Linked DNA regions of Rattus norvegicus. The protein of the gene in region 1 interacts with the protein of each later gene in a pairwise test. Links are inferred from orthologs where the notes say so. Each region holds a gene or a part of one and is shown on either strand. Other genes may lie near its edges.

Evidence for each region. The genes of interacting proteins can lie anywhere in the genome.
Region 2: the proteins of Morn3 (region 1) and Rsph1 interact in binary tests that used the Homo sapiens proteins (3 or more experiments, as listed by UniProt). The two-hybrid records come from large-scale screens. The link is inferred for Rattus norvegicus from reciprocal best matches to the Homo sapiens genes MORN3 and RSPH1.

Annotation. Positions count from the first base shown.
Region 1 is NC_086030.1:39,186,899-39,190,565, reverse strand, and holds part of Morn3 (MORN repeat-containing protein 3), read right to left. Parts: intron 2,487-3,667; coding exon 2,302-2,486; intron 2,010-2,301; coding exon 1,932-2,009; 3' UTR 1,926-1,931; exon of another isoform or gene 1,731-1,925; intron 1,505-1,730; exon of another isoform or gene 1,197-1,504; intron 1,096-1,196; exon of another isoform or gene 46-1,095; 3' UTR 1-45. UniProt on the Homo sapiens protein: Assembles a suppression complex (suppresome) by tethering SIRT1 and MDM2 to regulate composite modifications of p53/TP53.
Region 2 is NC_086038.1:9,359,027-9,363,412, forward strand, and holds the start of Rsph1 (radial spoke head 1 homolog), read right to left. Parts: upstream 2,963-4,386; 5' UTR 2,909-2,962; coding exon 2,855-2,908; exon of another isoform or gene 2,707-2,854; intron 1-2,706.

The sequences.
Region 1 (3,667 bases):
AGAGCGCTTACCTAGGAAGTGCAAGGCCCTGGGTTCGGTCCCCAGCTCCGAAAAAAAGAACCAATAAATAAATAAATAAATAAATAAATAAATAAATAAATAAATAGACAAGAGTATCCTCGTTCCCCCATCCCTTTGTGAAGCACGGTATCCACATAGACCAGGCTGAAGAGATTGCCCGCCTTTGCCTCCCAAGTGCTAGGATGAGAGACACCACCATGCCAAGTAACAGTCCATACATACACCTCCACTCCCTAAGAGTATAGAGCTCTGGGCTGGATACATGGCTCAGCAGTTAAGAGCATTTGCTGGGGGTTGGGGATTTAGCTCAGTGGTAGAGCGCTTGCCTAGGAAGCGCAAGGCCCTGGGTTCGGTCCCCAGCTCTGGAAAAAAAAAAAAAAAAAAAAAAGCATTTGCTGGTGTGCCAGAGGACCCTGTTTTGATTCCCTGCACCCAAGTGGCAGCTCACAAGTATCTATAACACCTTCTTGGGCACCAGACATGTACCTAGTACATGGACATATGTGCAGACAAAACATCCAAACACACAAAAATAATTTAAGAGAATATATAGATCTGGGGGGCTGGAGAGATGGCTCAGCGGTTATGAGCACTGACTGCTCTGCTCTTCCAGAGGTCCTGAGTTCAATTCCCAGCAACCACATGGTGGCTCACAACCATCTGTAATGGGATCCAAGACCCTCTTCTAGTGTGTCTGAAGACAGCTACAATGTACTTATATACATGAAATAAATAAAAAATTCTTAAAATATATATATATGTGTATACACACACACACACACACACACTCATTGTATAGACCAGGCTGGCCTCAAACTCAGAGATCTACCACCTACCTCTGCTTCCCAAGTACCTGTATTTAAGGCACAGGCCACCATGATGGCCCTGGGTGCTCATAGTTTTTAAAGCTCTCTGGGGATTCTTGGGTTAGGCTAAGGAGGTGAGGACATGTTTAAATCTCAAGTCTCGGTGGGCTTGATGGCAGAGTGCAGGCTCACTCTCCTCTCTGGGTTAGCTCGGGCAGTAGAACTGAAACCACTTCCTTGCTCCTCTGCCTTGCACCCTCAAGTCCCCCTGTCACAGACACAAGGGGAAAAAAATCTACACAGTTGGTGAGGCTGTCTTTCCCATCCCTCAGACCCTGCCCACCCCTGCTCAAGCTATAGTCCCTTGGATTAAGGCCACCACCTTCTTTATTTTCATGCACACTGATATAAAGCCACAGGGGCAAAGGCTTTGAGCAAGTGGGTCCCCAAGACCAGCCAGGGAGAAGCAATACCTTACCTCCACTGGCCAAGAATAAGCTAGTGTAAAGACCCCACCTCCAGTGGCCAAGAATAACCTAGCGTCTGGAGGAGTGGGTGCCCTCTGAGGGAGCCAAGGGCGTGCCCAGAGTCACTGTGTGCTCCTTCTGCAGGAGGTGCACCGGTCTGAGCAGTTTGGTGACAAGGGCTAGAGTTTCTCCTGAGTCTCTGTTCGATCTCTGCACAGGTGGGGATGATGTCGGAGTTAAGGATTAGAAACAACCACCAACACCCTCGCCATAAAGCCTCACAGCCACCCTCAAGGACAAGGTCCCACAAACAACTATCAAGACAGGCCAAGGGACCACAGCCTCCTTCAACATCCTTTAGAAGGGACTAACCAATCACCTGACTGCAGCTCGCCCCGGGAGGCTAAGAACAAAATGGAGGCAAACTAGGCAGGGCTGGAATGCACTGGGTTATCTAGGCACACGTATTTCAAAGAGGAGTAACCAAGAAGGAAAAGCTGGATTCGGGGAGGCAAGAAACTTGCCCTCTTTGATCTTGCTCTGCGCCCATTAGTGGTACCAGATGATCGGCACTGTTTGTTCAGAGAGGTCTCAGCTTTCTCAGAGGTGACAGACAGCCGCGTCTTCTCACCTGACATCAGTCCTCTTCTTCCTCAGGCTTCTTCAGTTTATCTAATGCTTCCTTCAGCACACCGTCTGGGTCTAGAATCTCCACCTGGGGGGAAGCAGGGGCGAGGGGACCCTTTGGTTGGGGTAAGGAGCATGGGAAGCCCCCAAGCTGCCTTGCTAGAGATGCTTGAAAACAGAACCTCGGGGTTGGGGATTTAACTCAGCGGTAGAGCGCTTGCCTAGGAAGCTCAAGGCCCTGGGTTCGGTCCCCAGCTCCGGAAAAAAAAAAAAAAAAAAAGAAAAAAGAAAACAGAACCTCACCTCCAGCTCCTTGACATGTGGAGCCAGGAGGCTGGTTTCTGTCTCTCTGGTTTCAGGACTCCAGGAGGACTACCCACCTTAGGAATGGGGAACTGGGTGGGTTCTGGGGCCTCATCCCGGCCAAAGTCGATCATGGTGCCACACTTGGCCACGTTGTCCACCCAGAAGCCTTCAAACAGCTGGCCGTGGTCCAGGTGAAAGAAACGCCCGTGCCCGTTCTTCATGCCTCTCTCCCAGCTGCCTTCATACCGGTTCCCGTTCTCTAGACAGGAAAGCATGGGTGCTAGGCACAGGGAAGCAGCTGGGACATCGGGCTGGACCTCACTGGTCCTAGCTGCTGACCAGTGAGCTCTCTGAGAGGAGGTGCAGTGTCCTTAAAACATCGCTTCAACCAATTCCAGAGATTTTATTCTGCCAGTCATGGTGGCCCAGGCCTTTGATCCCAGCAATCAGAAGGCAGAGGTAAGTGGATCTCTGAGTTCTAGTCCATCCTTGTCTACCAAGAGAGTTCCAGGGCTACACGGAGGAAAACCAGGGAGAGGGGGAGGGGGCGGGGGGTGAGAGAGATTTGATTTTTTGATGTTGGAGACAGAACTTGGCTCTCGGCACTTCTGCCTCTGAGCTGCAACACTAGCTGTAGGGAGGGTTTTTTTGTTTTTGTTTTTGTTTTGTTTTTTGTTTTTTTGTTGTTGTTTTGTTACTTTGTTACTTTTGTTTTGCTCCGCAGCGCAAGAAACTTTGAGCCTGCTAGGCAACTGCTCCACACCCCCAGGCCTTGGCCTGAAATTCCCTATGTAAATCAAGAATTCAGAGCTCCACCTCCCTCTGCTTCCCAAGTACTGAGATTAAAGCCATGTAAAGTTTGTTTGTTTGGATGGTTTGGTTTGGTTCCCCCCCACCCCCCCACAGCATTTCACCCCCTAGCTGGTCTCTAAGTGGAAGCAATGTTGTCGCTGATACCGAGTGTTAGGGACCTTGATCACCTCCCACATTTATTTATTTATTTTTTTTTAGTGTGGTTGTGTTAAATGCCAGTACTTGCATGCCAAGGTGCATGTGTAACACACATGTAGGGGTAAGAGGACAAGTCTGGGAGAATCGGTTCTCTCCTCCTACCTTGTGGGACCCAGGATCAAACTCAAGTGGTCAGATCTGTTTGGAAGCCCAACTCACCATTGAGTGAGTTACCCGCCGAACCGACTCAAAGGCCCTCACACTAAAAACTACTAAACTAAACTAGACATTTGCCCGGCGTCCCAGAGCTAGCCCCAGCTCCCACCAGGATCTGAATTCCTGCAGGCTCGCCCAAAGTCCAGACCATGAGAAGCTCCTGGAACATTTGCTCTGCTTAGCAAGAGCTCTCTAAATCCAGTTTATGCTCAGTGGAGGCTCACTGAAGGCAGGCTCCTTGCAGAGGATAGGGACTTCAAGACAGACATACAG
Region 2 (4,386 bases), on another chromosome or scaffold:
ACTTGTAGAGGCTGAACCAGGATTGCAGGGTCACTTGAGCCATGGGGTTGAAGGGCACATCTGAGTCCCAGAGCAGATCCCTGCCCCCCACTCTAAAACCAAGGGAATAAAAAAGTAATACAAGCTTGCACTTCTCCCCACCCCTTCCCCCTATACTTTTCAAGATGAATGTTCTCTGACTCACACACATGGATGTAGTGCATATAACATATACTAAAATGGCCGGAGCATTCAGTAATGATGCAGCATGGCTAGCTTATAACATCTTGCTGCAAACTTTCAACATACACAATGACATGACATATTATTACATTTCAGTTGTCCCTTATAAGCTCATATATCTACACACCGATTCCCTGCTTTGTGGTACTGTGTGGGGAGACTACGGAACCTTTGGGAGGTAGAGGCTTGCTGGAGGAAGGTACATCACTAGGGACGGACTTTTGAGTGTTTGTAGTCTCACACCACTTCCTGTCTGTGCTCTCTGCTTGCATCTGAAGATGTCAGCCCTCAACTTCCTGTTCCTGCCGCCATGTCTGCCCCTTTGCCTGCCTCCTCACTATGACAGACTCCTACCCCCCTGGAACCGTAAGTCCAAATAAACTCTTCCTTCCACGAGCCATGGTGCCTGGTCACAGTAACAGAAAAGTTACTAAACCCACACCGTACAGAGTCCCTGCGCCCATCCTGGAGGTCTCCCGCTATGGCCAACACTGAGTCACAGAAGTGGACCCCTGTACTCATCTCAGGGACCTCCCAGTATGCCCAACACGGACTGAGCTGTCTGGATGACCAACAGAGAAATTCTTTAAGTTGACCTAAAGGTGGTTTGATGCCATAACTATAAGCTTAGACACGTTACAGGTCAGTAGGAGCCGGCAGGGAACAAACCGGAAACCCTGATGACCGGACTGTGTGAATTGAATATCTGCAGAAACAGACTGTAAATTAGTGACCTCCATCTGTGTGTGTATGTGTGTGTGTATTATGTGGTGTGTTGTGTGTAGTGTATGTGGTGTGTAGTGTGTATGGTGTGTGTGTGGCATGTGTAGTATGTGTGGTGTGTGGTGTGTAGTATGTATGGTAAGTGTGTGTGTAGTATGTGGTGTGTAGTGTGTGTGGTGTGTAGTGTGTGTGGTATGTAGTTTGTGTGGTCTGTGTGGTGTGTGTGATGTGTGTAGTGTGTAGTATATGTGGTGTGTAGTGTGTGTGTGGTGTATGTGGTGTGTGTGATGTGTGTGTGGTGTGTAATGTGTAATGTGTGTAGTGTGTGTGGTGTGGTAGGTGGGGTGTGTGTGTAGTGTGTAGTGTGTGTGGTGTATAGTATGTGTGGTGTGTAGTGTGTGTGGTGTTTGTGTGTGGTGTGTAGTGTGATGTGTGTGTGGTGTGTATGGTGTGGTGTGGTGTGTGTGGTATGTGTAGTATGTGTGGTGTGTAGTGTGTGTGATGTGTGTGTGGTATGTAGTTTGTGTGGTCTGTGTGGTGTGTGATGTGTGTAGTGTGTAGTATATGTGGTGTGTGCAGTGTGTGTGTGGTGTATGTGGTGTGTGTGATGTGTGTGTGGTGTGTAGTGTGTGTGTGGTGTATGTGGTGTGTGTGATGTGTGTGTGGTGTGTAGTGTGTGTGTGGTGTATGTGGTGTGTGTGATGTGTGTGTGGTGTGTAGTGTGTGTGTGGTGTATGTGGTGTGTGTGATGTGTGTGTGTGTGCGTGTGCGTGCGTGTGCGTGCGTGTGTTCATTCAGTAAGGTGGATATGTCCATGTGGGTGTTTGCTCATGTGAATGTTCATGCTCATCTATAGGGGCCAGAGATTGACATGTAATGTCTTCTTCAAGTCTCTCCACCTTATTCTTTGAAACTGTCTCACTGAAGTTGGAGCTAGGCTGGCCAGCCGGCAAGCGCCAGGGATCCTCCTGTGCCCGGCTTTTTACACAGTGGTACCTGAACTCAGGCCCTCGTGCTGTTCAGCAAGCACTTTACTGACTGAGCCATCTTCCCTGGGGGAACTTTTACAAGTAGAACCCGAAGAAACCAGTGAGGAGATCTGCCAGATTGGAAAGGAGGCAGCTAAGCCAGGATGCATGTTGCAATCTCAGATGCAATACCAGCCTCCAGCTAATGGCATGGAGACCTTGAGGTCTAGATGTCGCACTTGAGAATGTCCTTCTTTGCACTGGCTCCTGGGAGCACAGGACTCCCAGGCATTGTGGCACCTTCACACTGACCAGGCTGTTCCAGCACATAGATGAAGAAGCTAAGACAGGATGCCCAGGGCCTGCAAAGAGATCTGAGCGGGTACCAACAGTACAGAGCAGGGACTGGGTTCTTCAGTTGATGCTCAAAGCGCTTTGCTCACACACAGCGGGCCTATCCCCCACTCTGTCAGCCAGGGCGTGGTCATCCTCTGGTTTAAGGATAAACAGCCGGCCCACAATGCACTCACGTAGGAGCACAACACTGGCTGTGGGTCCTTTGCCTCCCCTCTGCTGTCTACACAAGAGAAGTGATTCCAATGGCTTGGGATGGTTCAGAGAAACTGATTCCAAACCCACGTGGTGAGATCTTGAGAGCCCGGGGCACCTCAGCCCGTGCGGGAGTTGTCAGGAAGCAACCTTTACTCACGCCCTCTGCTTAGAAATCTTCGCCTTTAATGGGAGGCGGGATGGGAGCGGGGAAGGGGGGGTGGAAACAAGACGTCACGGCGTTTCACCTTTCAGAGCGACTTCCTGGACGCAGCGCCGCCACTGTGGCCAGCGTGGTCCTGTCCCCGGCCTCTCGGCCCTCTGATCCCCACGCCTCCCGCTCCGGAGCTGCGGCGCACCCCAGGAGTCCCTCCCTGGTCAGGAGCTCTCACCCCAAGATCGTTCTCTCCCTCCTCCTCTAACTCCTCAGAGCCCAGGTCCGACATGATCTGGTCTCAGACAGGATCTCCGGAGCAGCGTCTCTATCAAGCAGGTACCAGCCACCCCCACCCGCGTCCCGCGTCGTCATGGAGACGCTGCCCGCCCCACTTGGCTCTCTGCCTGGAAGGGTGGCGGGAAAGGGCCGCAAGAGAAGCGTGGGAGGAGCCAAGGGCTGGAATAGTGTCCTAGCAACTGGAAGGGTATCTCTGCCAATCGCCGCCCGGGACGAGGGGGGGCGGGGCCTTGGCAGATCTGACCGTCTAACCTGAGCTGTGTCACCGGCCTCTGGAATGTCCTTACTGATCTGGTTTGTGGGCTCTACAAGGAATCACCTAAAAAGCGGACCCCCATTGGGACGAGAGGTGCATCTCAACTCTGGGCCTTGCCTTTCAGTCCCTTGGGTCCTCCGTGGATGCTGCAAGGACCCTCCCAGGTCTTGAGGTGTTCGTGGTCTCTAGATGACAGGAACTCAAGTCTTTTCTGTTTCCTGTCAACACGTATACACTGGACGATGAACTCTGACCACTTAAGCAGATGCTCGCACACACTGCCCCGGGTCAGGGTTTAGCATCTCAACTAACTCAGGTTACCTCTGGGCCTTCACTTGCAGGAGAGCTATATTCGTTCTACTCTGTCCTCTGGTGCCTGCAGACTTCCTCTCAAAGGTCCAGCCTGCTCATTCACTGACTGTCTCTTACAGATAGATCTCCTCTTGGGGTCCCTCCAGTGCCACATTCCACCCTGCAAGGACCCTCTGGGTCCCCTTCAACCCCTATACTGTCATTCCAAGCTCAGACCTTCCTGCTCCCCCACTGAGCCAGTCTTTCTGTCCCAGTACCTGGCCTCCTAACAGTCTCACAGTTTTCTCTGTACAGAAACCCAAACACACACAGCCTCTCTCTATGTCCCCAAGCTCCCCCTCCCTGCACTAGCTACATTGCAAACAAACCAAACCACCCAAACCTCCAGTCCCTACTTCTGGCTTCTGCCTGGTCCAGCCCAGCCAGCTCCCTGGAATACCTGCTTCCCCACACTTGAAAGCACACCAAGACATCTTTGTTTGGTTGGTTTTTTCCCCCAAAGATTGGCTAAAAAGCTGCCTCCCCACGTGATAAAATGTAAAACATAACTTGGGACAATTAAAAATGCTAATGTGAGGGGTTGGGGATTTAGCTCAGTGGTAGAGCGCTTGCCTAGGAAGCGCAAGGTCCTGGGTTCGGTCCCCAGCTCCGGAAAAAAAAATGCTAATGTGCCGTGATGTGCATGCAGTATTCTGATTAACACACACACACACACACACACACACACACACACACACACCACACACACACAGGGCCGATTTCCACAGACACAGCAACACAGCCACTGTAATCACCACCACCACCACCACCACCACCACCACCACCACCACCACCACTACCACCACCACCACCCCAGGTGCTACCTTTAGAATCTGCTGTTCACACTCCTAGGGAACTGTCCA